7 linked regions of the Callithrix jacchus genome follow. The protein of the gene in region 3 purifies or fractionates together with the protein of the main gene of each other region. This does not show direct contact. Links are inferred from orthologs where the notes say so. Each region holds a gene or a part of one and is shown on either strand. Other genes may lie near its edges. The genes, in order: WASHC5, TNKS1BP1, CAPZA2, TWF1, CNOT1, KIAA1671 and MTCL1.

Evidence for each region.
Region 1: the proteins of CAPZA2 (region 3) and WASHC5 purify together in Homo sapiens (affinity purification with mass spectrometry; 3 studies listed by BioGRID and IntAct, counting the BioPlex papers as one, with this or other methods). This does not show direct contact. The link is inferred for Callithrix jacchus from reciprocal best matches to the Homo sapiens genes CAPZA2 and WASHC5.
Region 2: the proteins of CAPZA2 (region 3) and TNKS1BP1 purify together in Homo sapiens (affinity purification with mass spectrometry; 4 studies listed by BioGRID and IntAct, counting the BioPlex papers as one, with this or other methods). This does not show direct contact. The link is inferred for Callithrix jacchus from reciprocal best matches to the Homo sapiens genes CAPZA2 and TNKS1BP1.
Region 4: the proteins of CAPZA2 (region 3) and TWF1 purify together in Homo sapiens (affinity purification with mass spectrometry; 3 studies listed by BioGRID and IntAct, with this or other methods). This does not show direct contact. The link is inferred for Callithrix jacchus from reciprocal best matches to the Homo sapiens genes CAPZA2 and TWF1.
Region 5: the proteins of CAPZA2 (region 3) and CNOT1 purify together in Homo sapiens (affinity purification with mass spectrometry; 3 studies listed by BioGRID and IntAct, counting the BioPlex papers as one, with this or other methods). This does not show direct contact. The link is inferred for Callithrix jacchus from reciprocal best matches to the Homo sapiens genes CAPZA2 and CNOT1.
Region 6: the proteins of CAPZA2 (region 3) and KIAA1671 purify together in Homo sapiens (affinity purification with mass spectrometry; 3 studies listed by BioGRID and IntAct, counting the BioPlex papers as one, with this or other methods). This does not show direct contact. The link is inferred for Callithrix jacchus from reciprocal best matches to the Homo sapiens genes CAPZA2 and KIAA1671.
Region 7: the proteins of CAPZA2 (region 3) and MTCL1 purify together in Homo sapiens (affinity purification with mass spectrometry; 3 studies listed by BioGRID and IntAct, counting the BioPlex papers as one, with this or other methods). This does not show direct contact. The link is inferred for Callithrix jacchus from reciprocal best matches to the Homo sapiens genes CAPZA2 and MTCL1.

What each region holds. Positions count from the first base shown.
Region 1 is NC_133517.1:72,278,386-72,282,478, reverse strand, and holds the start of WASHC5 (WASH complex subunit 5), read right to left. Parts: upstream 2,801-4,093; 5' UTR 2,621-2,800; intron 1-2,620. UniProt on the Homo sapiens protein: Acts as a component of the WASH core complex that functions as a nucleation-promoting factor (NPF) at the surface of endosomes, where it recruits and activates the Arp2/3 complex to induce actin polymerization, playing a key role in the fission of tubules that serve as transport intermediates during endosome sorting.
Region 2 is NC_133511.1:114,880,011-114,883,510, forward strand, and holds part of TNKS1BP1 (182 kDa tankyrase-1-binding protein), read right to left. Parts: coding exon 3,297-3,500; intron 1,325-3,296; coding exon 1-1,324.
Region 3 is NC_133512.1:87,439,940-87,444,013, reverse strand, and holds the start of CAPZA2 (F-actin-capping protein subunit alpha-2), read right to left. Parts: upstream 2,801-4,074; 5' UTR 2,689-2,800; coding exon 2,650-2,688; intron 1-2,649. UniProt on the Homo sapiens protein: F-actin-capping proteins bind in a Ca(2+)-independent manner to the fast growing ends of actin filaments (barbed end) thereby blocking the exchange of subunits at these ends.
Region 4 is NC_133510.1:31,724,201-31,728,460, forward strand, and holds the start of TWF1 (twinfilin-1), read left to right. Parts: upstream 1-1,460; 5' UTR 1,461-1,501; coding exon 1,502-1,526; intron 1,527-3,171; coding exon 3,172-3,249; intron 3,250-4,260. UniProt on the Homo sapiens protein: Actin-binding protein involved in motile and morphological processes. Inhibits actin polymerization, likely by sequestering G-actin. By capping the barbed ends of filaments, it also regulates motility.
Region 5 is NC_133521.1:16,470,718-16,474,808, forward strand, and holds the start of CNOT1 (CCR4-NOT transcription complex subunit 1), read right to left. Parts: upstream 2,801-4,091; 5' UTR 2,702-2,800; intron 1-2,701.
Region 6 is NC_133502.1:195,971,519-195,975,018, reverse strand, and holds part of KIAA1671 (uncharacterized protein KIAA1671 homolog), read right to left. Parts: intron 2,316-3,500; 5' UTR 2,261-2,315; coding exon 717-2,260; intron 1-716.
Region 7 is NC_133514.1:54,360,533-54,364,616, forward strand, and holds the start of MTCL1 (microtubule cross-linking factor 1), read right to left. Parts: upstream 2,801-4,084; 5' UTR 2,706-2,800; coding exon 1,653-2,705; intron 1,298-1,652; exon of another isoform or gene 746-1,297; intron 1-745. UniProt on the Homo sapiens protein: Microtubule-associated factor involved in the late phase of epithelial polarization and microtubule dynamics regulation.

The sequences.
Region 1 (4,093 bases), on a different chromosome or scaffold from region 3:
CACCTATTAAAGCCCTCCGAAGACCACCAAACTAACGCAGGTCTAAGTAGGATAAAACTTTACACCAGGGGTGTCCAATCTTTTGGCTTTCCTGGGCCATATTGCAAGAAGAATTGTCTTGAGCCACACATAAAATAAACTAACACCGACAATAGCTGATGATCTTTAAAAAAACTGCAAAAAACTCAAAATGTGTTAAGAAAATTTACAAATTTGTCTTGGGCCACATTCAAAGCCATCCTGGGCCACATGTGGCCTGCAGGCCTTGGGTTGGAAACCCTTGATCTAGACTCATGAAGAGGAGGGGAAGCTATGATGAACAGTTCCAATGGCTGCCAGATTTTGGATACCATGACAGGGCAACACTGTCCCTGGGAAAAACATCTCAAAGCAAAGTAACATTACCTGCCCTTGACTCTACTCTCTCCCAACATACAGAAGGACAGACAGACTCAGCACCTGCATGCACACATTGAGGGAAGCTTCAGTCTGGGATAATGGCAGAAATCAAGGCCTTTATATGTCAATCTCCTATTTTAATCCTTAGGCCCTTACTCTAGAATTATACTGTAGATGACTTTAAAGGAACATGAGAAGGGTAATAATAATCAAGTATGTTTGGCAATAGTAAAACAAATATTATGGGTCTTTAATACCTAGGTGAATCACCTTCTAAAATTCTATATATAAACTTTATATTAAATTTTTTAATGCCAAAGCAAAATATGAATTATATTTAACAAAGTTACTGAAATGAACTCACTGCTTGTAATCTCTTTTGCCCCATGAAGAGCACTTGTGTTTTCTATTTCTAATAGTGTAAGTATCTCCTGCTAAGTTTTTGAAGATGGAAGGGGTTAAAACAAGATTATCTGAAAGAAGGAAATCACTTAGTTACATTTTATGTACTAGACCTCCTAACCTGGACTAGTTATATTTTCCATGTAACAAATGGAATTTCCATGATTTGCACAAATATAATTGGCTAGAGTATCTGGTAAATAGCCCTCAGTTGGTTGAAGTACTAGTCGTGAAGAACAGAATCTAAGAATCATCACTAAAAATGCCTAGCCAGGAGCAGTGGCTCACACCTGTAATCCCAGCACTTTGGGAGGCCAAGGTGGGCAGATCACATCAGGAGATTGAGACCATCCTGGCCAACATGGTGAAACCCCGTCTCTACTAAAAATATAAAAATTAGCTGGGCGTCTTGTCGCATGCTTATAGTCCCAGCTACTCGGAAGGCTGAGGCACGAGAATCCCTTGAACCCAGGAGCAAGACTCCATCTAAAAAAAAAAAAAAAAAAAGCCTAAGCAAGTTGCAGCTACCTAAGAAGTAGGTGGATAGCTTTACAAAGTGTTATGACTCAGTTAAGTCTTAAAAAACCGCTTTAGAATTAGGTCCAAATAAACACTGTAGAAGAAGCAATGCTAAATTATCCTTTCAGAGGTTCTCTTGGTGCTAGGGATTAAGAAAACTCTGAAAGATCAGTTTTCTCAATACAGGCTATATTACCATTGGCATCAAATGGAACCAGAGATCCCACTATATATATATTTTTTTTTTACAAGTTAGAGTGCCGGTAACTTCATTTTTAAGAATTTGGCATGGAACTGTGATTTTCAGTTTGGGAGACAATCCTAATCAAAAGACATGCTTTCAAGAATGAAGCATGGCATTATTACACCAATTACTCAGAGTACAGAACAATATTTCTTAAGGAAATCCAACTGTCGTGGGAAAACACTGTTTACCCTATTCAGAGGATAAAAGAAGGCAGTTCTTATTTTTAAGCCTTTCGCCAAACCTCAGTTCCATAAAGGAAGCACTAATCTCCATAAATACATTATCACAAACAAAATATAATGGTTGTTGATCAAGATAAATGCAAGCTGCATATGTTTTCCAGAAAAGTTCTGAAATGAGGCTGATCCTGAAATCATGGGAAAGGCAGGTGAAGGACAATTAGAGAAGGTGGCTCTCGTGCACAAAGACAGTAAGTAAAACTTCTCGCTCACTACCTCCTGCTGATGTTTGAAGGAGCTCCATACACTTGCAATCAGGAGACCCAGTTGCATGGCTCTGTGACTTTTTTCTTTTTCCTGTCCGATCATAGAGGAATCAGGACCCTGGGAACTTTTTTTCCCCCCAAAATAAAGAGGATTTTGGCATCAGTCTGTCACAGGTGAAGGCATTAAGGCGCAGCAAACAGCAATGACTTGCCCAAACTCACAGCCCATGGCATAACTAGAATGCAAACCTGGGCCCGTCAGACTGTAAAAGTCCTCACTAGCCTTTCAATTTTCTCAATAGCAAATAGAGAAATAACGACGATATCCACACAGCAGTGTTCCCGGAAACTTGGGAGGGTGAGATTCGGACCAAGCAGCGGAACGGCGCTTCCTAAAGCGAGGAAGGGGTGTGCAAAATGATTTCCCCCAAGCGGAGACGAAGAGCTGGACTGCAGCCCCCGCCCCAGAAGACTCCTAAGCCCTCCATCCCAAGTCTCCCACCCAGACTGCATGCGACGCTGCAAACCTCCCTGTGGCTAGCGCGGCACAGCGGGGAGGGGAAGAGGACAGTGCAAAAACGGGGAGCGGGCACCGCATCCCCACTCACCTGTCAGCAGGGCCGCGCCAGCGGCGCACGCGCAGGGCAGGCGGTCGCGCGCCGAGTCCGCACCTTGGTCTCACCCCTCCCTCACGGTGACGGTCCTCTTCTACCTACAGTCCCCGACCAGGAGCGGGTCCGAGTACTGCTTCCGCCCCCTGACGCCCAAGGCTGTCACATGACCGAAGCGGCGGGGAACAGGGAGGGACGTCATGTGATCACTCGCCGGCGACGGCTGATGACGCAAGAGCCCGCGCTCACTTTACAGAGGTAGGCGAAGGGGGATGAGGAAAGGAGGTGGGTCCAGGTGGGGGAAGTCGGTGTGGCACCAGACGGAGACAGCTCAGGCAGCCAGGTAGGGCAGAAGCGGGGGACAGCATTGGGGAGGGTGGCGGGAGTTGTCGCCTCCTTCCGGGGCGCTCCACGGGGACCCTGAGCCGGGGGTCCTTCGACCTGGATTATGGTTGTGGCACTTTTCACGCCACAGTAGTGAGTCTGGGACAGTTTACCCTCCTGTCCGAGACGCCATCTCCATCCTTTAGCCCCAGGTGTGGAGGGTAGGGGCAAGACCACAGATTTTTTGATCCAAATAGATCTAGTTTGAACTGACTTTAAAAGCAAGGCCAAGGGCAGGTCATTTGAATAAACTCTCTGGATCTGTTTCCTCTTCGCTTATGTAGATTGCGCTGAGAATTGGCGATAAGGAGAATGAAGTGCCGGGACACCAGTTTATGGCATTCTAGGTGACCTAGAAATGATGAAGTCTGTTGTTATTTTTGTAACTTGCCGAATCTTTATTGATCCCCCATTTTGTGTGAGAAACTGCTTTATATGCAGTAGCATATATCAGGGTTCTAGTTTTAAGAAGTTCTCAGAATAAAGTAGCTGCAGACATGTGAGCAAATAGCTGTGATGAGTTTCATAGTAAGAGTATGTGCATGTGATACGGATAATGGTAGCATGAGGGAAGGAACAGGCTATTGTATGAGAGAAGGATTCAGAGAGGGGTATATCCTTGCATGCTGAAAAAGAAGAGGCAGCTCTTGCTGACTTGTACAAGGCTCCCACGGATTTAAAGGAAGTCAGCATATTGTCTATAAATAACATGCAGAGAAAAAACTCAGGAAATGCACAACCTTGTTCTAAACTTTCTTGGAGATCATAGGTACCGGGAAGAAAAGATCAGTGTTATTAGCTGGGGAGACATCCAAGAGAGATTGATTTAAACCAGTTATTCTAACCGGACGCACTATTGACATTTTAGGCTAGATTCTTTTTTGCTGTGGGGTTGTGATGAGGGCTGTCCTGTGTATAGTAGGATGTTTACGAGCATCCCTGGCCTCTGCTTACTAGATGGCAACCATAATGTCTACAGATACTGCTAAATGTCCGTTGGGAGAAGGGTAAAAATCTTTCTTGGTTGAGAACCACTTAAACCAAGCGATGAAAGCTGGTGTCTTAGTCAATTTGGGCTTCTGTAAC
Region 2 (3,500 bases), on a different chromosome or scaffold from region 3:
CCACAGAGCCAGCTGTGGTCTTCCCAGGAGGCACAAAGTGACCACCTCCCGACTTGCTGGAAGGGCTCAGGCCAGCACCACTCACTCTGTCATTACCAATGATGCCGAACTGATAGCTCCTCTCACTGGTCTCGATGCAGAAATCCCGGCTCCAGTCCTGCTGCCCTGGGCTAAATGCTGCCTCTCGCTGGGGGCCAACACTGAGGCTAAACTCACCGGCCCAGCCTCGCTTCCCCACTTCCCCATCTTCCAGGTCAGCACTGCCAGGACCCTGAGCCCCTGCCTGCTGCCTCTCCTGCTGCCCTCCCACCTCCTGGCTGGCATCACTGTTTTGCCAGCTGCTCTGGTCTCTCTGCCCGAGTGCCCCGTCTGGCATGTGAGCAGTGCTAGGACTGAACAGGCCCCCTGATTCTCTCTCGCCTGGCCGGCCAGCATCCCCGCTATCCTCTCCAAGGCTGTCTTCCACACTCGGAATCTTCTTCTCAAATTCCTCATCCTGTTGCTGGGCTTCCTCAGGGCTGAACCCAGAGCTCAGGGGTCTCGTTCCAAAGCCTCTGTCCTGGGTGTCAAGGGTCCTCGAGCTGCCACCGCTGCTGTAGTCCCTCATCCAAGCGCTCTTCCCAAACTCCTGTTCCTGTGGCTCCACACCCCGGCTGCCATAGGTGCCGAGGGACACATCTCTTTTCTCAAACGCCCAGTCCTGCTCATCAGCATCCTGGCTGCCGTATCTGCCATGGTGGTCCCTCTTCCCCAAATCCCGGCCCTGCTCATTGGCGTCTTGGCTGGCATAAGCACCCAGAGAATCTCTCTTCCCAAATTCCCAGTCCCCAAGGCTTACATCTCGACTACTGTAAGCACCCAGTGAATCTCTCTTCCCGAATTCCTGGTCCTGGAGTTCTGCATCCCGGCTGGAATAGGTGCCCTGGGAATCCCTCTTCCTGAACTCCCAGTCCGAAACATCTGCCTCCTGGCTCCGCTGCTTGCCAAGCTGGGCTGGCTTTCCCACTACCCGGTCCTGGGCTGTGAGGCCCCCTGGAGCAGTCATTTCACTCTGGTCTTGGCTGCTGCTGGCCTCCGTCTCCTCCTGGCCGATGCCACACCGGCTGGCCCACTCCCTGGTGCTCCCTTCCCCAGCTCCTTGCCCATACTTGCTGGTCCAGTCACCCTCTCTGAGGCCTGGGTCTCCTCTAGGGCTTGCACCCCCAAGGCCATAGTCCTGAGAAGCACCTTGACACCAGCTGGAAGGACTGAAACTGCTGGGCTGTGGGTCTCCTGTGATCCCAAATTCACTCTGCAGATCTTTCTGGGACCAGCCAAGGAGTCCCTGGGAATAACAACAACGACAAAAAAAAAACAGACAAAGAAACAATGATTAGATTCAACCGGGGTGTGGGGGGGTCAATCCGGCAAGGTCCATGCTGCCCAGTGCCTGAGAACCCCACCCTGGCAACAGAAAGCTGTGTGACCTTCAGCAAATCACCTAACTACTCTGGGCCTCAGCGGCCTCATCCTCAAACAAGGATAATTCCTTCTGCATGGGGCTGGTGTGAGAGGATTAAATGAGATCATTTAGACCAAGCACTCGGCACAGTGCCTGGCATGCAGTGGGCACTCAATCGATGGTCCCATGGTCATGTTTACAACCCTTGGGCAATACTTGGCTAACAGCCAGGAGAGGAGTGGTCTTCACACAGGAATGGCGGGGAGGGCGCTTTCCTTTCGATTAGGAGAGGTCAAGATTCAAAGCCTCTGTGACCTCCCTTGCACAGCAAGTTTCCAACACCAGTGAGAGCTTTTCCAGCCCATCCGCTCCCCTGCCCCATCCGACCCCGTCCTCCTGTAAGTACCCAGGCCCTTCTTCCCAACGAAAGTGCTGTCTGCCCAGTCCTCCCCAGGAAGACCTCTCAGCCTTCACCCTGGCTCAGGAAAGACAGGAGGGGCAGCCTGTGGCACAGGGGGAAATCCCAGCCCGGGGTTTTTGCGCCCCACCCCCCACCTCACTCTCCCTGACTCACCCTTGTGGGCGGGAGAGTCCTGGGCTCAGGGCTTCGGAGCCGGCCAGCCTCATCCCGCAGCGCTGCGTTGGCCAGCAGCCGCTCCAGGATAGACATGCTGGCCTCCCCATCCCTAGGCTGGGCCATGGCCCCCCGCCCCCCGCCCCCCGCCCGCCTTGGGGCTGCTGGGTGCGGCCAGCCAGGCACAGGGACAGGGCTGGGCCGCTCCCCGAGCTGGGACCTGTCCGACGGCTCTGGCGCTGGCTCTCCCTCACCCTGGCCCTGCTCCCTCCGGAGCAGCTGCACATCGGGCAGCCCCGCCCAGGAGTCAGTTGAGTCACCCACATCCCGGGACAGACACACCTACTGCAGGAGTCAGCTTAACCCCTTCCTGCTCCTCCTCCTCCCCGCCCCCCAGCCCCTAGAGGCCCCCTGCAGCTCCGCCCCTTCCAGCCCAGGCTTGGCCTGAGAAATAAATTTCAAAAGCCACCTGGCCCCTGGCCCTTAAATTCAGAGGCAGCCTGGTAAGAGAAAGGGCATCGGGCAGGGAAACAGCGCTGGCCTAGGCCCAGCCACCAACTTGCTGGGTAACTGCACAAGGCTCACCTCCTCTAAGCCCCAGCTGCCTGTCTACAAAGCAGGTCTGGAGCTCAATGTTAATAACGTTTGTAAAAGCCAACACTTATTAAGCACTTAGGATGAGCCAAGGGCTATTCTTAGCACTTTAGACATTACAACTCATTGAACCCTTGCCAACACCCTCGGGGGTAGAGCTCATCTTGTGATCCACGGTTTACAGATGTGGAAACTGAGGCAGAGGGCAGAAAAGTCGCTCTTTCAAGGTCACACCTGGGCAAAGGAACAGTAGAGCCAGGAGACGAACTCAGGAGCCCACACTCTAAATGGCTACACTACTGTGCCTTGAATAACATTGCCATAATAAGACTGAATACTCCGCACCTGCCACATACCATACTCAGAGCTCCCCACCTCTCAGTTTCCCGCGATTTAACTCTCAGAGGCCAGTGCTATCATGGAAGGACTCTGAAGCTTAGCAGTTAAGGTACATTCTTCCCAAGACCAATCAGCTAGCGGGTGCTGGAGCTGGGATAGAGCCTTACACGAAACCCCACACACCATCCCGTGTGGCTCTGAGGACCTACGATGTGCAGGTCCACAGCTGCCCTGCTCGCTACCACAGCCCAAGCTCTTGACACGTAAAATCCACATTCAAAGAATGAAGCCCACCCAAGCCCTGGCCTCTGTCCCCAGAAGCCCCCCACTCCCTATGCCCATCCTCACCTCGGAGCAGGTACTTGGGGACTGTGCATCCTTCGGCTCAGCTCCAGCTCCTCGCCGTGCACTGCCACCACTGGGTGGTGGTGAAGCCAGGAGGTCGTCTAGCCAGTGGGAGCTGCTTTCAGGCCCCGCAGGCTCGGGGGACACCCTACAGGAGTCTTGAGCCTCTGTCCTGGGTTCGGTGGTCTCGGCCAGAGCTAGGGTCAC
Region 3 (4,074 bases):
CGAGTAGCTGGGATTACAGGCACGCGCCACCACGCCCAGCTAATTTTTTATATTTTTAGTAGAGACGGGGTTTCACCATGTTGACCAGGATGGTATCGATCTCTTGACCTCGTGATCCACCCGCCTCGGCCTCCCAAAGTGCTGGGATTACAGGCTTGAGCCACCGCGCCCGGCCTACTAAAAGCTTTTGAACTTCACTCTACTCATCTGTGAAATGGTAGTAGGACAACTACCTCTTAAAACAAATTAAGTAATGAATGTATCTAACTCAGCCAAGCATATATAAAGTATAGTACTAGATACATCTTAACAGCTTCCCTTTCTTAGATTTGCAATCTAGAATGGAAATTTCGAAAACTTAAAACTTATTATTTTTTAGAGATGAGGTCTCACTATGTTGCCCAACTGGTTTACAACTTCTAGGCTCAAGCAATTCTCCGCATTTGGCATCCAGAGTAGCTGGCATTACAGGTGCAAACCACTGTGTCCAGCTTGAGAACTTATTTTTGAAAATTACCAAAAAGACGGTAGAAAGAGAAATATTAATATATCACTTTCAAGTCCTCTCTGTTTCTGATCCCATACTGGACACATCCTCCACCCCAAAATGAAAAATACCTTTAGATATCTAAAGTGACAAGAACGTTAAAATTTCACTTAACTGGTTACTTGCATTTACCCCAAAAGTTCTGTCAGTTTTTTAATTAGTAAATATAGTGATGAAATTTATATGTATAATATCTACAGAATATTCTTACAAAACACCAAAAATCAAATTAGAATTTTCACTAATTTACCCATAAAACATTTTGCTAGTAGGCGGCGCAAGCTTGAAGACACACAACCTCCTCACTCCTCCTCATGAAGCTTAGTGCCCTGAGACTGCTGGATAATAAGGAATTTTGTAAACCCATTTTTTAAAAGCTTTTTAATTTTAGGCCTTTACAACACATGGCAGGTCTATATTAACTCCCACACAGTATTCTCTCTTCAGCTAAATTTCTAGCCACTTGAGCAACTACTAATTACGACTTAAGAATGGTAAAATAAAAACGTGACAATCTCTTTTTAAACTTTTTAGCACAACTCAATTTTAAATATGTGTTTGTGCACTCCAGTGCATTTTCGGACAGCTACTTTGGGTTATTTACCAAGACTGTAGACGTGAATACTGCACAGCAACTTTTCTGGATACAGGGATCTGCCTACTGGGGGTTATGGAGATGTTGCTCACCCCCATTTTGTTGCTGTATTATCACTTTCACCAAAGAGCACAAGAGGAAAAAATATTTCCAAAATAAAGATGAGATTGACTTCTGCCCATTCACATCGGGAATGGGACGGAACCTTCTCTTTCAGTGCAAGAATACAGTATATAAAAACATCTAGAGCAGAGGGTCCAAATTGAAAATATCCTCAAACTTACGTGAGGATCTGTTAACCACCACAACGTACCTAAAGGTACTTGTATTTTCCTGCATTGGCTATACAGCTTTGGAACTTAAAAATGAAGCACACTTTAACGAAGAGTTAAAGAGCATTTCCAACCCTGCAACTAACTCATTCGTGTCTGTCAGTTACTTCGGGAGTACTTCTAAGTTTGAGAAACCTCAGGTTCCTTTCCGAGAAACTGTCAAAATTAGCAGAGTTCTCCCCTACCCCACTACCCTCGGGAACCGGACGTTCGCAAAAGCCAAAGGAAAGGAGAGTGTAAAAGAGCAACAGTTCAATGAATTATTCGATTTCTCGTTTTAAATATCTGAGAACTTATGTCGTTCACCTGGTTCCAGTGTTGTCACAGCATCTAACATACAGTAAAAGGACTTGCACAATTTCCCCTCTTCGGAAGAAGTCCTAGCAGGAAGGTAAGGTGCCATCAAATCGCCCCCCGGGGGGGCTGCTGCCAACGTGGATAGAAAACAACTATGGGGAGGGGGTCGTCTTTTTGTGAGCAACTCCACTGCCTCTTGAGGAACATGGGAGCTGCAAAGCCTAAAGCTAGAGCCACGAAGTGAGAGGGCGGGCGGGCGGGAGAGAGACAGGCCTCCATGGGGAAAGGAAAAAAAAAAGCATAAAACGTAGAGAATCAGAAAAGGAAGCATTTTGCTTTGGGGAGGGGGAAGTAGAAGGGAGAACTGAAGGTCTGCTTCCTAAGCAATTTTTCCCTTCCCCTCACCCGCCGCTACACTCACAGGCCAGGCTGCCGCTCTGGGCACTGCCCTTGGGCCGCTCCCAAGCCGGGACGCAGACCCCTTTGCGCCCCCGGTCCCCGGTCCCCGGCCCCCGGCCCCCAGCTCCCGGCGCAGGCCCCGCGGCCGGGTAACAGGAGAGGGTCCCGGGCGGCCGCCGCCCTCCCCGGCGCCCGCGCCCCCGCCCCCGCCCGCCGCCGCCTGGCTCCCCTTTCCTATTTTCGGAGCACACACCCTACAAGGAGCGGAGTGAGTAGGCCTGGCTGAGACCTGCCCCCGCGCGGGGCCTCGGGTGACGGACGGGGGCAGGCACTGGGCGCAGTGAGGAAGGGGGGAGGAAGGGCAGCCGAGGGCACCGCCCGCTGCGGGCCAATGCTTCCCCAGCGACCCGACTCCGGGCGCACAAGCCAGGGCTGAGCCGGCTCCTGAAGGCCCGCGCCGCCGCCCCCGCGGCTCTTACCTTCTCTTCATCAGACAACTGCTCCTCCAGATCCGCCATCTTCCTTCTAGCGACAAACCGCGGCGGCGGCGGCGGCGGCGGCGGCCACCTGACTTCCCCTTTTCCGTGCGGTCCTCCGCGCCGCGCACCCCCGCTAAGGGAGGGGCCCGCCGCTCAGGCCGCCGCGCACGCGCCCCGGGAGCCCCGCCTCCCTCGACCGGCCCTCAGAGCCTGAGCGCGGCTGTGCGCGTGCGCGTGCGCGGGCGCCTGGTGGCCCGGCGGGGGACGGTGTCTCCCAGGGCCACCTGCATAGGTTTGCTAGCTTTCTCTCCCCACCAGTGACCATATGGGCTCAGTCTGCGATGAGTACATTCTGAGCCCTTCGTTATGTTTCCATCAAGTCCTGAACTCTGCTAGCTAAAATGTGAAAAGGTGTGCAATAGAAGCTTTTTAAACATTGGTTTTTCAAATATTAGAAAAAATAGTCGGCTTTCATTAAAATACACACACCCAACCCGCTCCATAATTGAAAGATTGCTCTTGATATATTTCTTATTTATCCAACAAATATTTTTTGGTCCTTCAACGGGGTGTGGGGCACTGTGTTAGTCTCCGGGGTTACAGTGTTGAGGTTCCCCCAAAGCAAGCTAGACATGCATGTTCATAGCAGCACAATTCGCAATTGCAGAGATGGAACCAACCTAAGTGTCTATCAACCAACGAGGGGATAGAGAAAATGTGGTATATATACACCATGGAATACTACTCAGCCATAAAAAAGAAGGAAATAATATTTTTTGCAGCAACTTGAAAGGAGCTGGAAGCCATTATTCTAAGTGAAGTAACTCAGTAATAGGAAACCAAATATCCTATGTTCTCACTTAAAAGGGTGAGCTAAGTTCTGGGGGTGCAAAGGCATAAAATGGACTTTGGGGATTGGGGAGGGGATAAATGACTACATACCGGGAACAGGGTACACTGCTCAGGTGATGGCTGCACTAAAATCTCAGAAATCACCACTAAAGGGCTTATCCATGTAACCAAAAATCCACCTGTACTCCAAAACTATTTATTTCAATAAGACAAACTTCTGTTCTAGGAAGCTCACCTACTACTCTAAACAAACATACATTGAACAGCTGGGGCTGGGTGTAGTGGCTCAGGCCTGTAATCCCAGCACTTTGGGAGGCCTCGGTGGGAGGATCACCTGAGGTCAGGAGTTCGGGACCGGACTGGCCAACATGGAGAAAGTTCTCTCTACTAAAAATACAAAAATTAGCCAAGCCATGGTGGCACATGCCTGTAGTACCAGCTACTTGGGAGGCTGAGGCAAGAGAATTGCTTGAACCCTGGAGGGGGAGGTTGCAGTGAGCCGAGATCGAGTCATTGCACTCCAGCCTGGGCGACAGAGCAAGACTCAAAAACAAAAAAAACCAAAAGCCAAAC
Region 4 (4,260 bases), on a different chromosome or scaffold from region 3:
TGGTGGCTTTTGGGGTGGTCCCAACCTAAATGGACATCCCTCTTCTTCAAGACTGAACATACAGTGGTCTTTCCCAAGCATGAATATGGAAGAATTATATTTCTGTCATCAGTACTTCTGAGCAAGGCCAACCTTCTTAAGCAACTTCCCTGAGGCACCAGGATATGAATCAGTCAAAACACTGCAAGTGAACAATGCAATTTTCTCTCTGCTCAGCAATGTAGTTAAAAACTGGCAAATCAGGGTGAACCATTGTGTCAGGAAGAATTTGGTTAGAATGAAACTCCTCCCTATATTTCTTAAATCCATACAAGTCATAAAACTCAGATTAAATTTAGTTTATTCCTGAATATGAGGGTATGTCTGAAAAACAGAGCTCAGATAATAGGGAATAGAACATAACCTTGTTTCCTGTGATCCTTGTAAAGAAAAACAATTGCAGGCCTGTTAATCATTCATTAAAAAGACATTGTATAGTATTTGAACACTGATTAACTTGCACTTATATTATTGACCTGAATAAATTACTTGTTCATTGGCAGATTATAATTTTGTGTGTCAAGGCCCCCAAAATAAGAACTAGCTTAGTTCTGCACCTAGTAGCAGAAGAGAAGCAGTACCAAAAACAAAACAAAACAAAACAAAAAACCAACCCTCAAAAACTAACATTACCCTTCAGAGGGAAACGTTTTTAAAAGCAGGATTGGAAAAGATTTTTAAGTAATATCTGCTGTTACCTTACAAATCTGTCCAAGTGAATTTTGAATAATTATTGGATTAAACAATAAACAGTCAACCTAAAGCAAAGCAGTAAAATAGTATAATCGACCACAGAGGAATACTCAAATCAGCTAATCTCTCTTAGTGGCTGTCTCTTTTTGGAATGAAGAGATAGATACGCTAGGTCTCTAAATGTGTCCAGCTGAAAAGAAAAGTTAACAGTCTGAGATTAACTCAATTAAAATCGTGGAAAAATTTGATGAGAGACAGTTTATAGTATATTCGTTCTTTTAAAACAATGGAGCAAGGAGAAGGCTTTTCTACACTAAATGGTATCGATTATAGAAAGAGTAAACCAAAAACGATAATGTGCACATCTTTTTCAAGCTGAAAAATGCCTGTTTGATAAAATGATCATTTCCGTTTTTGAGCATCCCTTTGCTGAGTAGCGAATGGCGCGTCGGCGGGGTCGCTAGAGGGCAGACGTCGGAGCACTGAGATCTCTCGGTTCTGCGGCATTTTCCCCAGGAGAAGCCGGAGAAGCGACAGCAAGAGCGGAGGCAAGACCCTAGGCAGAGAACTAGGGTCGCGAGGCCGGGGGTTGGACAGCAGCAGATCGGCGGGTCGCTCTGGCACGCAGTCGGCCTCTCGGGGCGGGGCGGCCGCAGGTCGCGGACGGATGACGCGCCGGGGCGGGCGGAGGAGCAGCCACTTCCTGGAGCCGCCGGCCGGGGCCGCTCGCTGCACTCAGCTCCGGAGCCGGGAGCCAGCGGCCGCCGCCATGTCCCACCAGACCGGCATCCAAGGTAACGGCGCCCGGCGCGACCCGCAGGGAAGGGGCTCCCCAGAGGCTCGGGAGAGCCGGGTGGGCTGCAGGGCGGACAGCGCTGGAGTCGGACCCGGAGCTCCGGGAGTCTGCCTCGCGGGGCGAGCCGGGCCTCAGTGCTGCTCCGTGCTCCTGCTTCCCTGGCGCTCCCGGCCTGCGTCCTCTTCCAGCCCGGGCCCTGCTGCTGCCACGTTGCAGATGGACCCGAAATTCGGAGGAGCGAAGGAAATTGGATTTCGAGGTGGCCTGGTTGAAGGGGGCGTGCCCTCCACCGTCCCCGACATTAGTTCAACTTTCCCCCTTTTGGTCAGGTAGGGAAGAGCTGGGACAGTGAGGGCGACTGGGGCTTCCCTACGCTGTCGACAGCCAGGCAAGTTTTCCTTTTCGTGGTGCAAAAGAGAATGTTACGGGACTTTGATTACAGAAAGAAACACGCCAGAATCTTTCTCATATCAGTAGGAGTGCTTCCCAAAACTCTCCGGCATTTTCTTCCCAAATAGGAAAGTGAATTATGTTCTGAGAAATCCCGGGTGTGGAGTGTGTTTTGATCTTTAGGTACTCCCCAAGGGAAACTGAAATCCTGATCTATATGGTTGCACGTAATCATCGCGTGCAGACAGTTGAACGTGCAGTTATATCTGACCTCCATTATTTCCTGGTTTGAAATTGGGCAGTCTAGAAGTGCTCACCTCATCAAGAGTCAAATAATATATCCCCGGGTTACTAGCGATCACTTAACGAGTTCTAGTATAAACTCAAGCTCCTCCTGTCAATTACGAGTTCTCCTAGATGAACACTTAATTGCATGTTTTATTCTTAAAAGATTTTTCATACCACCCCACACATCCCTCTGCACGCATGCACTCACAAAAACAAAGTAGTCTCAAATCTGAAAGCATTGTTTTATTTATCCGTATTAATTTCGATATGTAAATATATAGTTACTGACTTTCATGCTTGAGCCTTATAGCAAGCACTACCTACTTAAATAGTGGTTTCTTGCTGTTAATAGACAACACAGAAATGAAATTAGAACGAAACTGAAGTTTTACTGGAACACAAGTGTTAGTTATTAAATATATATTTATTCAATGAGTTTAATCTAGCTTTTGAGAAATCCACGTTAGAAAAATATAACCTGAAGTAAGATTGAATGCATTTCATTGCCTTTTCTTTAGTCAAGTTAGGATATTTGATATATACTGTTGTTTTTAACGGGAAAATAAAGTGAACTGATGAAGAAGGTGGCTATCATAAGCTTGAAACTGAATTAGAGAATGAAAGCAGGTTCTCAGTATTTTTCCAAAGAGCAATACAAGTTTTTCAAAATTGTAACTTGCTCATTATTGGGTTTGAGTAACTTCAGTATGTTCATCCCTGTGTTATTTCTGCTACAAAATTATGTAGCTAAAACAGATTCAAATTATTAGCATACTTTAAAAATGTTTATATTTCTTAATTGTATAGTCTTCATTATTTTATGCCATTAGTTTTATAATACTGATAATAAGGATGCTACATGCTCCAGATTTTTTCTTTGTATTCTAAATAATTTTTTCCCATATAGATAGCAAAGTATTCATATGTAAGTATTAAAAGTTTACTTTCTTTATCTTTTTTCACAGCAAGTGAAGATGTTAAAGAGATCTTTGCCAGAGCCAGAAATGGAAAGTACAGACTTCTGAAAATATCTATTGAAAATGGTTAGTTAAATATTTTAAAATATTTTTTGTTCCTGGATTAGTGGCTGTTGTATTTTTAAATTTACTGTGTGTTGTCAGTGATTTGAACTATTAATTAATGTGAAACAAGTTCAGATATTACCTTACGGTAACTTGGATTCCTCATATATTGTGCAGGTCCCTATGGGCCCCTGATTTCATTCTCAATTCTGTGACTATCAAGGAAATAGATGTTTTTTGATGTGACTTCTTCCTCTTTTACTTTTTGTGTCTCAGTTTCTGCACTACAGTCCATTTCTAATGTCAGTGCTTCCATCTGTGGAATGGAAATCAGTAAACAGGTGATTATCAAAAACAATAGTTACTTGTGAATTATTCGGTAAAGTTTGTTTTGAAATAGAAACAAAGGATTTCAATCTCCCATTTTCTTCATTTGATTGCAACCTTTGCTACAGAAATGATCATTACCCTTTCTTGTTTTGGGAAAGTTCTGAGACTATAACAAACTACAAATTGATTCTTTAAAAATAATTCTTTAAGCAGGGAATCTGGTTGAGTGGTAGAATTTTTTAAGTCAGGCAGATCTGAATTTGAACAATTTCTGTTATAGCTACTCAATCCCAAAGAATATGTTAAAATATTCCAGTGGCCTAACTTCTTAAGTATCTGGAAATATTTTGCTTTGGAAAAGTAATTTGTTCTTTCACAAACTGGAATTAAATCTAATTGGTTTTCTGTTTTTTTGCTTATATATTAAAACCAGAATAGTTTATAAAATATGCATTTGTTTACAAATAACATTCAATAGGAGTATAGTATATTGTAAAGCAGCATATTTTAAAAATACTGGGCCAAAACTTTAAATGCCATCATTTCCTAAGTGACTAAGGAATTAAAATGGAAAAGTTAATCTAGCATCTCTAAGGAAGGAAAATGCCACTATTTCCTAAATTATTATTTTCTAGTTTTACTTTTTGTTTTGTGAAAATTTTTAAAAAAGGAAAATTCCAAAGACTAAAATCATAAATACCT
Region 5 (4,091 bases), on a different chromosome or scaffold from region 3:
GGGGGGGGACGACGGAGTCTCACTCTTACACCCAGACTGGAGTACAGTGGTGCAATCTCAGCTGGCCACAACCTCCACCTCTGGGGTTGAAGCAATTCTCCTGCCTCAACCTCCTGGTGCCTGCCACCACACCCAGGTAATTTTTGTATTTTTTTTTTTCCTTTTTTCTTTTTTTGAGACAGAGTTTTGCTCGTTACCCAGGCTGGAGTGCAATGGCACGATCTCAGCTCACTGCAACCTCTGTCTCCTGGGTTCAAGCAATTCTCCTGCCTCAGCCTCCCGAGTAACTGGGACTACAGGCATGCGCCACCATGCCCAGCTAATTTTTGTATTTTTAGTGGAGACGGGGTTTCACCATGTTGACCAGGATGGTCTTGATCTTTTTTTTTTTTTTTTTTTTTTTTTTTTTGTTAGACAGAATTTCACTGTTGTTACCCAGACTGGAGTGCAACGGCACGATCTTGGCTCACCGCAACCTCCACCTTCTGGGTTCAAACAATTCTCCTGCCTCAGCCTCCCTAGTAGCTGGGACTACAGGTGTGCACCACCATGCCCAGCTAATTTTTGTATTTTTAGTAGAGACAGGGTTTCACCTCGTTGACCAAGATGGTCTCGATCTCTTGACCTCGTGATCCACCCGTCTTGGCCTCCCAAAGTGCTGGGATTATAGGCGTGAGCCACTGCGCCTGGCCAGTTTTTGTATTTTTAGTAGAGATGAAGTTTCACCATGTTGGCCAGGCTGGTCTCGACCTCCTGACCTCAGGTGATCCACCCACCTCATCCTCCCAAAGTGCTGGGATTACAGGCATGAGCCACAGCACCCAATCAATTCTAGACTTATTTCCACTAAGACTCAGAAGACCCATATTTGTTGAAAAGGGACCAACTCTCCAAACAAGTTTTATCAACATGTCATCATTTCAGTCAAAGCACAGCTAGCCACCTAAAACCATGTATCATCAATGTGTTTTCTCCTTAGACAAGGTAACAATTCGCAGTGTCCTAAAACGTAATTATTTAAACTGTTACAACCTACCTTCTTAATAGCTAAAATCCTCTGTTGGGTAGGAATACAAACCTGGACCACAGACCACTTAACTATTAAATCCAAGTACCTCTAGAAAAATAAAATTTGAGGCCGGGCGCGGTGGCTCACGCCTATAATCCCAGCACTTTGGGAGGCCAAGACGGGTGGATCACGAGGTCAAGAGATCAAGACTATCCTGGTCAACAAGGTGAAACCCTGTCTCTACTAAAAATACAAAAATTAGCTGGGCATGGTGGTGCACGCCTGTAGTCCCAGCTACTCGAGAGGCTGCGGCAGGAGAATTGCTCGAACCCAGAAGGTGGAGGTTGCGGTGAGCCAAGATCGTGCCATTGCACTCCAGTCTGGGTAACAACAGCGAAACTCCGTCTCGAAAAAAAGAAAAAGAAAATTTGTTCTTAATCTGTTTGATCTTCTTCCTAATATTTTACTTGCCCTCCCTCAGTTTCTTAATCCATGTATTCCCTATTCCTATCAAAGGGACTGTCATAAGGAAAACGCTCAGCATTTTTTTCAAAAAGTTTACTTGTATTTACTCAATTATACACTTAAAAAAAAAATCCAAGTAGTCACAGGCGATCAAATTGTCGAGGAACAGGCAGGGAGATTAACTATTGTTACTCAGTTTTCAGGAAGAAAACTGCCTTTAATTTATTACAGTCCTAAGAAACGTGACATTTAACTTTAGGGGAAAAGTTTGTCATAAAGTTTATTTTAAATATAACATTTTCAAATGCACAGATATCAAGCATTCTTTTTTCATCTACAAAGTTTACTCCTTGCGGAGTTAGTATCTGTGAGCCCTGTTGGGTGAATTCTGCAGAGGGTGGTACTGAAAAAAGTATTATTTGTCTTTGGCCTTAAGTACCTCTACAAGACCTGCAGAGGATCTCTCGTCAGCCTTCAGGCCTATGAGTGCTCAGCTCACTAGCGGGACACTTGTCTTGGGTGAACAGGACCGCCACTATTGCAGACACCGGACCGAGCAGGTGGGGGCCGACTTCAAAGAAAGTGTGAGCGCCCGGGCGCGCTAGTGGAACAAAACCTGTGGCAAGTAATAAGGAAGTGCTCGCTCCCGCCCGCCCTTCCCATCCGGGGACACCCGAAACATGGGGGGCTTTGACAATGTGCAGGGGGCGTAAGAGGGGGAAGAGTGGCAGCTCCGAGCACACTGAGAAAAACTGGAAACGTGCAAAAACTCCAAACACCGTTCCCCCCATCCGAAGCGCTAGGCCTCGGGAGCCGATGCCCACTGCACCCATCCGGGTGCAGAGTGAGAAAGAGTAGTTGAGGAGGTCGTGGGGGGGTTTCAGGAGGATGCAACCCGCGCGAAGCCAGGCCCAGCGACACCAACTGCCGCCACTGCCGCCCCCTGAGCCTCCAGGCCCGGGACAGAGGCCACCCCGGGTCTCATCCCGCGCTCTACCCTCCGCTTCCTAGAGCCTTCTCGCTGGCCTCATCTTCAGAGCGCGAAGCCTCCGAGAGCCGTCTCCCGCCTCGCCCCACTTGCCCGTCCCGGCTGCCTCTCACTCCCCGGAGCTCCGGGAAACGCTTCCAGTGGCCCCAGGTGCACCCCTGTTCCTCCTCCCACTGGCACTGGCGTCCCCAAGCTAACACCGCCACCGTACCCCAGGCCCTGACGCCAGCCCGCCTCACCTCAGACGGCTCCAGCAGCGCTGAACACAGGAAACTCCTGGGTCCCCGACTCCAGCTCTCCTCAACCCCCTCTTCGGTTAACTCCGCTTGTTTCTCGACAAAATGGCGCCGGAGGTCGCGCGCTCACGTCGCGGCCTTTCCCCTCCCCGTTCCCATTTCATCATTCGCTGCCCGCCCGAGGAGGGATGGTCCCAGCGCCAGCCAATGGCCGCGCCCCGCCTGTGGCTCCCGCCCAATCACCGACAGCTACCCGCGGATTTAAACCAATCACACTCTATCACTTGCAGAAGTCGAGGAAGAAACCAGGCTTTTGCTAGCAACTACCAATCCAGACTTCTACTTCGTGGACTGTAGCCAATTGCCGCTCACCAGGCCCAGGGGACCTGAGTCGGAGCCCTCGCGCCTGCGCTCGAGGCGAGGGCCAATAGAGAGACGCTGATAACTTCGATTTGGGGCTTCATGGACTTCCTACCTGCCCTGGAGGGCTGCGACCAGTGGCGCTTGGCATTGCCTTTGAGGAACAATAAATTATGGAAAGGACCCATAGCTCCTCGCCACTTTGTGCAGGAACTACTTTGAGTTACAGTGAAACAGCCTTCCTCCACTTTCCTTTCTCTTTCGAAATGTCACAGTCCAGTAGACTTCGGGGAGTACCAACCGAAACATTCCGCCCCCCTAGTGTCCCTTTGGCGGGGAACACCAGCCAGAAAGCAAGTCAGATAGTGACTAGAGTTGGGGCGCCTTGCATCCTGGGATATGTAGTCGCGCTTCCCTACCCTGTTCTCATCGGAGAAGTACCGCGTCTTCTTCCGTCACTGGCTGCGCCCTAGAAGGAGCAGTACATGCTGGGGGATGTAGTCACACAGGTGGCCACCTGGTCCTCGCTTGCTTCGCTTTCGTCAAGGGAATTTTCTCTTTTAATTCTGCCTATTGAAGGAAACACAAGTGTTCTTCCTGGCTTAAGTCCTAGGAGCCGTCTAAGAAAGGATACCCATGTCCTTTGCTCTCAAGTGGAAAAGCATAGAGACATATTTTGCTATGGTTTGTTTGTTAACTATGATAATTGGTAAGATTTTATGCTCACCTGTACCCAAAAGAGAAAGGACTGGAAGGAAGTGTTGACTGGTTAACTCTATTACCTTTTGAAATTAAAACCTATCCCCTGCTCACCCCTGCTCTCAGGCTAGGCTTAGCAGGTGATCGCCTGGCCATCTGTCTCATATTACCTCTTGTGCCAAAAAAAATACTGAAAAAAAAAAAATATATACTGAAAAAAAAAAAAAAATGATGGTAAAAAACATGAAATTTGCCGGGCGCAGTGACTCACGCCTGTAATCCCAGCACTTTGGGAGGCCGAGGCGGGTGGTTCACAAGGTCAAGAGATCGAGAC
Region 6 (3,500 bases), on a different chromosome or scaffold from region 3:
CCAGATGCTTGGGAGGCTGAGGCAGGAGAACTCCTTGAACCTGGGAGGCGGAGGTTGCAGTGAGCCAAGACGGTGCCACTGCACTCAGCCTGGGCAACAAGAGCAAAACTCCAGTCTCAACAACCACAAAAAAGAAAACAAAACAAAATCATTTACTAACCAACTGACTTAGAAACTTAGAATATCATTATTAACGAACTGACTTAGAGTATCATCACTAACCGACCGCCATAGAATATCATCATGAACCAACTGACTTGCCCAAATTACCTTGACTCCTGAGTTTATTTTCTGGGCCACTCACAGAGGCTTAGGCCTAATCTTAAGTGTTCTCTCTGACTCTAGAGAAGAAAGGCTTAGCTACGGCTGGGCTGGAGTGACGTCCAGCTCCCACCTCCTCACGGTACTTCGCCCTTCTGCTCTGCCTCTGTGACGTGGGCACATAGCTCCGCCTTCAATCACACAGTACATCTGAAGCTGAGAAAAGCCACGACAACTGAGCTCTGGGCCCCCTGGCTGGCCACACCCAGAGGGGAGCTACACTGCCTCTCTGTGTCGCTCCTTCCTCATCTGAGAAATGGACACTGCCGCTACCTCCTCTTGGGCTACGGGTGAACTGAGGGGGGCGGCAGGTGCCCAGCAGGGAGCCTGGTTTCCTCTTCCTCAGGGGCTCTGGGTGGGTGACTGAGACAGGAGTGTGGGATGTGCCTACTTACAATTTGGTCAAATCTGCCGACAGCGGCCGAGCCTGGAATGTCCTCCTCCTGACCTCAGGCTTGGCCTCGGAGCTCTCGGCAGCCCAGCCTTTGATCCGTTCCTGGACGCTCACAACCCCTTTCTCCATCTCTGGTGCCACTGATGGGGATGCAGGGGTAGCCAGAGGGGGTTCAGACCCCACTGCCAAGGCCGAGGTGCTGTCCTTCCGAAACAGGCTGATGCACTTCCTGACACTCCCCCTGGAGACCCACTCTCCCCCTGCCGGAGCCGGGGCCTCCCCATCGTCTGCCCTGCTCTTAACCTCAGCGAGTTCTAGGCCCCTTCCCAGCCTGGGCAAGGGGGACTCAGCAGCCTTCTCTGGCTCCAGGTCCATCTTGGCCTTTTCTTCCCAGGGATGCTGGTCATTGCTGGGGGTGACCCTGGCGGAGCCCCCCGGAGCTCTGGGGCTGCCCGTCTCCTGCTTCAAAAGCATCTTCTCTTTCCGTTCACGGATTTTCTTGGCCACCTCCAAGAAGTCCGAATCAGGATCATGAAGAGGAGCCTCTGCCTTGACTGAACACTCTTGGTCCAGCTTGCGCTCTGCTCTGGGTCTCTCCAGCCCAGCCGTGTCCCCTGCTGTGGTGCCACTTCCCTCATCGGCCACCTTCCTCAGCAAGGCCTCTTTGTTCTCAAAGCGGGCCGTGAGGTCCATGGACAAGGGTCTGGGCTTCCTCACCCACGTCTTCTCCGGAGGGGTGGGGGGCACTTTGCCCACCGTGGCCACCGCGCTGGGGCCTGGCTTTGGAGGCTGAATGGACTCCGTGAAAATGGCGGACACGGGCCTTCTCTTCAGGCGAGGCCTGGGCTCCACAGTGGGCTGTGCTGTGTCCTCCACACTGCTGGCCTTGGAGGGAGGCTGGTCTTGGCCTGCATCCTCTTGGGGTATAGGCAGCTTTATGTCCCGTGAAGGGGGAGCTGACCGGGGAAGAGTCCCCACAGGCTTTCGGGTGGGCAGGGCGGGCTTGGTGGCCACCTCGGGCCGGGAGCCCGACATACCCGGCTTGGCCTCCTCAGCCCCCTCACTGACCACCTTCCCCAGAGTGGGGCCGCTTTTTGTGGTTTCGAAGAGAATCATGGTGTTGGAGCCGGGACCCAGGAACACAGCCTTGCTGAAGAGGGACGAGCCTGCCCTCAGGTCCTCCCCACTGCCCACCTCCTGCCCCACCAAGCCGGGCATCCTCTTGTCCAGATCCTTTGTTGCTGGCTCCTCAGAGGGCCCCCCAGAGGGAGAAGGTCCAGTTGAACCGGGCCGCAGGGATGGGACAGGAGACTTCACGTCCTGCTCCTTCGAGAAGGGTTTGGGGGTGAGTCTTGGCAGAGGGAGTAAGCGGGCCGGGCTCCGCAGGGGGCTCTTCGCCTCCAAGATCCGGGCTGGGGGAGCCCCAGAGGCATCGCCAGCCTGGAGGAAGTAGGTCCTCGTCAGGGTGTCCTCCTTGCCAATCTCACCCAGGCCTGGCACCGCCGTCAAGGGCGTTATGGAGCCCACCTCCACCCGCGTGGCCATGGCTACAGTCGTGCATCCATGGGGCTTAGGAACGTCGAGAACGGAGAGGCAATTGCTAAACAAACGAAACAAACAAGAAAGTACATTTGGCAAACAGTCAGCGTCTGGGTTGAAGCAGAATGGTTTGGAGGCATGGGACAGAGTCCTCAGAGTCCTGAGCCCAGATTCCATACGACAGCCCTCCGCTGACCTCACTGGGCAGGCTTGGGCCTGCCTCTCCCCATCTCTGAGCTCTGGAGGAGGGAAGTGGACTAAATGCCCATCCCTGAAGTGCGCTCCAGCTCCGAGAGTGTAGAAAAGGCATCAACACTGGCTGGAGGACTTTTCCCTGACTCAGCACATCTAGAGGCCAGCACTAAGGCAAAAAGCAGTGATCTCTGCTATACAGACAAGGAAACCAGCTCAGAGAGGCCAAGTAACTGGCCTGGAGTCACCCAGGAAACAAGAGCTGTAGTCAGGATTTGAAACCAGGTTTGACGCCAAACTCACACCACACACACTCCCTGCAAAAGCCTCAGTGGGAGCGTCCTCACATTCCCTCACTCCTGTTACCCTGTCTTCCCACTGCAGAGCCTGCCCACATCCCAGGTGATCCTCATCACAAGCGTGTGCTAAGCATCTAGCACAGAGAAGGCAAGTGACCTGCTGCAGGCCACACAGCAGTGCAGCTCAGGAGTGTCTGGGAGCACAAAGCTGGTTAGTGACCTGAACCCATGCCCTTGCCACCAACCCCACCCAATCATCCTTTAGTCTCTTTTCTTTCCCATCCCTCACCCTTCCAGCTGCCATTTAAAAAAGCCATTCTGATTTTTCTCACTAAACCTGCTCTTGTTTGTTTTGTGGTTCTTTTTTATGAAAACACATTTTATGCTGACCGCCTTCACATTCTTTGTTGTCGTTTTTTTTTGAGACGGAGTTTCGCTCTTGTTACCAAGGCTGGAGTGCAATGGTGCATGCTCGGCTCACGGCAATCTCCGCCTCCTGGGTTCAAACGATTCTCCTGTCTCAGCCTCCCAAGTAGCTGGGATTACAGGCATGTGCCACCATGCCTGGCTAATTTTTTTGGATTTAGTAGAGACGGGGTTTCACCATGTTGGCCAGGATGGTCTCAATCTCTTGACCTCGTGATCCACCCACCTCGGCCTCCCAAAGTGCTGGGATTACAGGCGTGAGCCACCGCGCCCGGCCCACATTCTTAATAAAAAGAGAAACATCTGGCCGGGCACAATGGCTCATGCCT
Region 7 (4,084 bases), on a different chromosome or scaffold from region 3:
ATTGAGAATCTAACAACTTGAAAAAATAAAGCAAATAACCAGTTGCACCAAGAATGAACTTTGAAATGATGGACTGCCTACCTTAAGACCAAAATATAATGAGAAGCTTCTTTATAGAACTCAATTTTCCCTTGCATAGCAGTCACTTGGATAAACACCATTCAATCAGAAATCTTGTAAGTCAGTGGTTATGCTAGGGGGAGGGGATACAAAAACAAGATTATCTTGTCACCCTCAGAAAGCTTACATTTGTTGAAGATTTACAGAAGTGCTGCTTTCATGATGGAGTCACTCAAAACATAGTTGCCTTTGAACTTCACTCTGTTGTCTATTACCTAAGAGTAAGTGAGGAAAGCAATAGCAACCATACTATCTGAAACATCTTGCAGTAAGTCCATCTTTTACCAGCTCTCTTTCTGTGCCTCACTGTTACTTCTTGCAAAAAGTAAAATAGGGCTCAGCTGGTTGGAGCAGCTCCATAAGAAATTTAGGCTTGGAGGCCACCCAGCAATTAATGTCCTCTGATTTCCCTGTGAACTGCATACTTCACCACCATCTACCTTAAAACCCAATCCTCAGTCTCACTAGCCAAAAACTGGGCCCGTAGTGGTTAGGCTTATCATTTGCTGAGAAAACAACTCAAATAACACAACCCACTGAAGAAGCTGGGTTTGGAGGCTGCTCATTAAGACTTAACAGATAAACAGATTTATGCCACTAGAGTAGTTTACTAACCTGAGGATTGCAATAAATAAAACAGTTGCCATCAATACGACTCTCCTTATTTTCTCTCAAGTCACCTGGATCCTTCTAACCCCGGGAACCCAGTATGTAGCTCCAGTCCCATACCAAGGAAAAAAGATGGAGCCGGATTAAGCACCCAGTGCTAAGGAGACTAAGAGGCCACTGCCTGCAGGCCCTGGGGAAAATACTCAGAATGCAGCAGGCGCAGCGATTCCTTAGAAAGTGCTGGCGTGGCCTCTCCTGACACAGAAAGCCGGCTCCTGGGTGCTTACAAAGGACTGGCCCGCACAACACCGCTACTCCTCAACCCAGCCACGTTCCAGGAACCTCTCCTGAACTTCATCTTGACCACCGAAAACGACTCGGTCCCTCTACCCAGGCTGTCGGAGCCCAGGAGACCCTAAGGGCCCCCAGCTCTTTCTGTAATTGCAGGAGAGGGGGGTGGGCGGCTCCGCAGCAGGGCCTGCCCCCGCTTCCGTGTCACCGTCCTGAACCGCCACACCGGCAAGTGCCAGGCCAGAGATCCCTGGCGAAAGATCACCTGTTCCCACAGGTGAGGCTGGCACGTCTCAGCGGGGATGGGGGTGTCGGCTGATGTCCCCAAGACGACTACAGCCTCCTCTGCCCCAACAGGTCAACAAAAGTAAAACAATCAGCGAAGAGACGCAAGACTTCTGGATGTGACAAAAGCGAAGTGGGTTGTGAATTGGAGGGGACCCGCAGGTCTTGCTGCTCCTTCCAGAAGTTTGGGCTTAAGTTCCCAATGCCTGACAATGCGAGGGCAGGACCGTGGAAGGCCGGAGGGAAAAGGCTCTGGATAGGCCCGGGAAGGCGGGGTTGGTGGGTCCCCGCCGCAGCCAGGCCCTCCCAGGGCGCCCTGGAATACCTGCCGCCGGGGCGCGGCTCACCTTGAGATAGTCATTCTCCGAGCGCAGCTCCTCCATCTCCCGCAGCAGCTCCTCTTCCTCCGCCGCCGGCACGAGTCGAGGCTGCTCGCCCAGGCTGGGCTCCCTGGGGGTCCCGGGGAGGAGTCGCTCCAGCGGCGCGCGCCCCCTGGCATCCTCCGCCGCGCCGGGCCCCGCGAATCCCCCGGAAACCCCGCCCGGGATGCTCCGGCCCCCGGGACAGGCGCCGGCGGCGAGAGGCGCGGCGAGGAGCGAGGGGGGCTCGGGGCTGCCCGGCGGCGCTCCCCGGGCTACCGGGCTCGGCGTCGGCGCTCCTCGCGGGGGTTCTCGGTCGCTGGAGCCCGTGCCGGATTCGGCATCGCTGCTAGCTGCAGGCAGCAGGCGCTGCTCGTCCGACAGGGGTTCGGAGGGGCAGTCGGAGAGGTCGGAGCTGCTGTCGGTGTGGCTGATGCGCGAGCCGCGAGCCGGGGAGCCGGCCACCGAGGTCACCGCGAGGGTCACGGCGGGGATCCGGGCGGCCGGGGTCAGAGGACCGATGGTGCGGGCGGGGGGCGCCCGAGAGGCGCGCTTGGCTTTGCGGCCCTTGGTAGCGGCGGGCGGCGGCTCGGCTCCAGGAGGCTTCCCAGCCCGGGACAGCGGCTCCGCGGGCGCCACGCGCGCCGCCTTCCTGCTTCCCAAGGCAGCCTTGGCACCGCCCGCCGTTCTGGCCCCAGGTCCCGGCGGGGGCTTGTCCTTCCCGCACGGGACGCCGCCGCTGCGCCTGGAGAGGCGGCCGGGCGCCGCCAAGGACCCCGGCGAGGGAGGTGCCTTGCCCGCGAGATTGGGCGAGCGCAGGGCGGCGGGCGCCGCGGCTCGGCCGGAGGAGGGGACCGCCGGACCCGGCGCAGCGGGCCGGGCGTGCAGGTCCTTGAGGAAGGGTCTGGCGGGCGAGGGCGCGCGGTGCAGCCGCCGCCTCTCGGCCAGCGGGTGGAGGTGGTGGTGGCGGTGGTGCTGGCCCGGCGGCTGCGGCTTCGCGTCCGGGGCGCCTCCGCCCGCGGGGCCGTTCAGCGTCTCCATGGCCGGGTCCGCGGGCAGCAGCTCGGGCGGCAGATGCTCCGGGAGGCGGCGGCGGCGGCGTGCAGCCTCCCCGCGCGCTCGCTCATCACTGTCTCAGCCCCGCCCGGGCTGCGCCCCGCGTTCCCGCCGTCACCCCACCCCCGCCCCGCACCCCGGCCCGTAGGATTCCCGTGGGGCTCGCCGCCGCCGCCGCCGCGCTAGCCCCTAGCTGAGGTCACCGCGGATCGAGTTCCCGCGGCTCAGCAGCGCGGCGGCTCCCGGCCGCTTGCATGCCCGGACCCCGCGCTCTGGGCTCGCGGTCACTGGTGCCGCGGCGGTGCTCGTGGCGCGCACCCGGCTCCCGCGTCCCGCACCCCGCCCACCGCCGGCCCGCGCCCGCCCCCGCCGCTCCCGGCTGAGGGAAGCCGCACGCGCGCGCCCCACAGCCCAGCGCCCTCGCCAGCCGCCGGTGCGCATGCCCCGCCTCTTGCCAGCCGGCGCCGTGCGGGGGGAGGGGCGAGGGCAGGGGCGGGGCCTGCGCTTCCCGGGGGCGGGCACCGGGCAGGGGCGGGGCCGGCACCAGGCAGAGCTGGCCCTTGGGGGCAGGCGTAGGCTGGGTCCACACGCCTTTCCGGGGACCCTCCTTTCTTTTTGAGGCCCTAGAGACGCGGCCAGGAGCTCGGGAGGAGGGGAAGAGGCGGAGGCGAAGTGGTAAGGGGCGGCGGCGCCCACTTGGGAAAGGATTGTGCCGCGGCTGACAACGCCCCCTTCAGGCCCCTCCATCCTCCGCCCGCCTCCCCGAGCCCGGTCCCCTCCCCCGCTGTCCTTTCCAAGCTGTGCCCCTGGTCCCGCGCTCCTTAAGGATCGCTGGTACTCGACGCAGCTCTCGCGTCAGAACGAGCACGGCAGGCGCTCCACAGTTGGCACCCCCGTGGCCTCAGGAGCTCAGAGGAGGAGGAGCTGCTGCCGAAACAGGAGGAGCCCTCGCCAAGCCGAGGGTCAGAAAGAGAACTCACATTTATAGTTCCGGCTGTGAGCCAGGCCTGCTGGCCACGTAATGGGCATTGTTTTATTTAAGCCTCACCACAATCCCGGATTGGAATTGCTGTCTTCGGTAAGGAGGAGGGCACCGGCGCAGGGAGGTAAAGTCGCTTGCCTGCGATGCCTCACCCAGTCCCTGGCTGAGAGTGTTTACACCCAGGTCCACAGGATTCCGAGTCCTGCAAGCTTTCCTCTCAGATAACCTGGAGCCTCGGCACCGGTTCTAACACTTGAGTCTCCCATGCACAAAGCACTACACCTTTCTGAGCCCCAGTTCCCTCACCTGCATCATTAGAACGTACTGCCACCTGAGTGTGTGTGAACATTGAGCAAATACCAGACACACCATGCAAACTGTA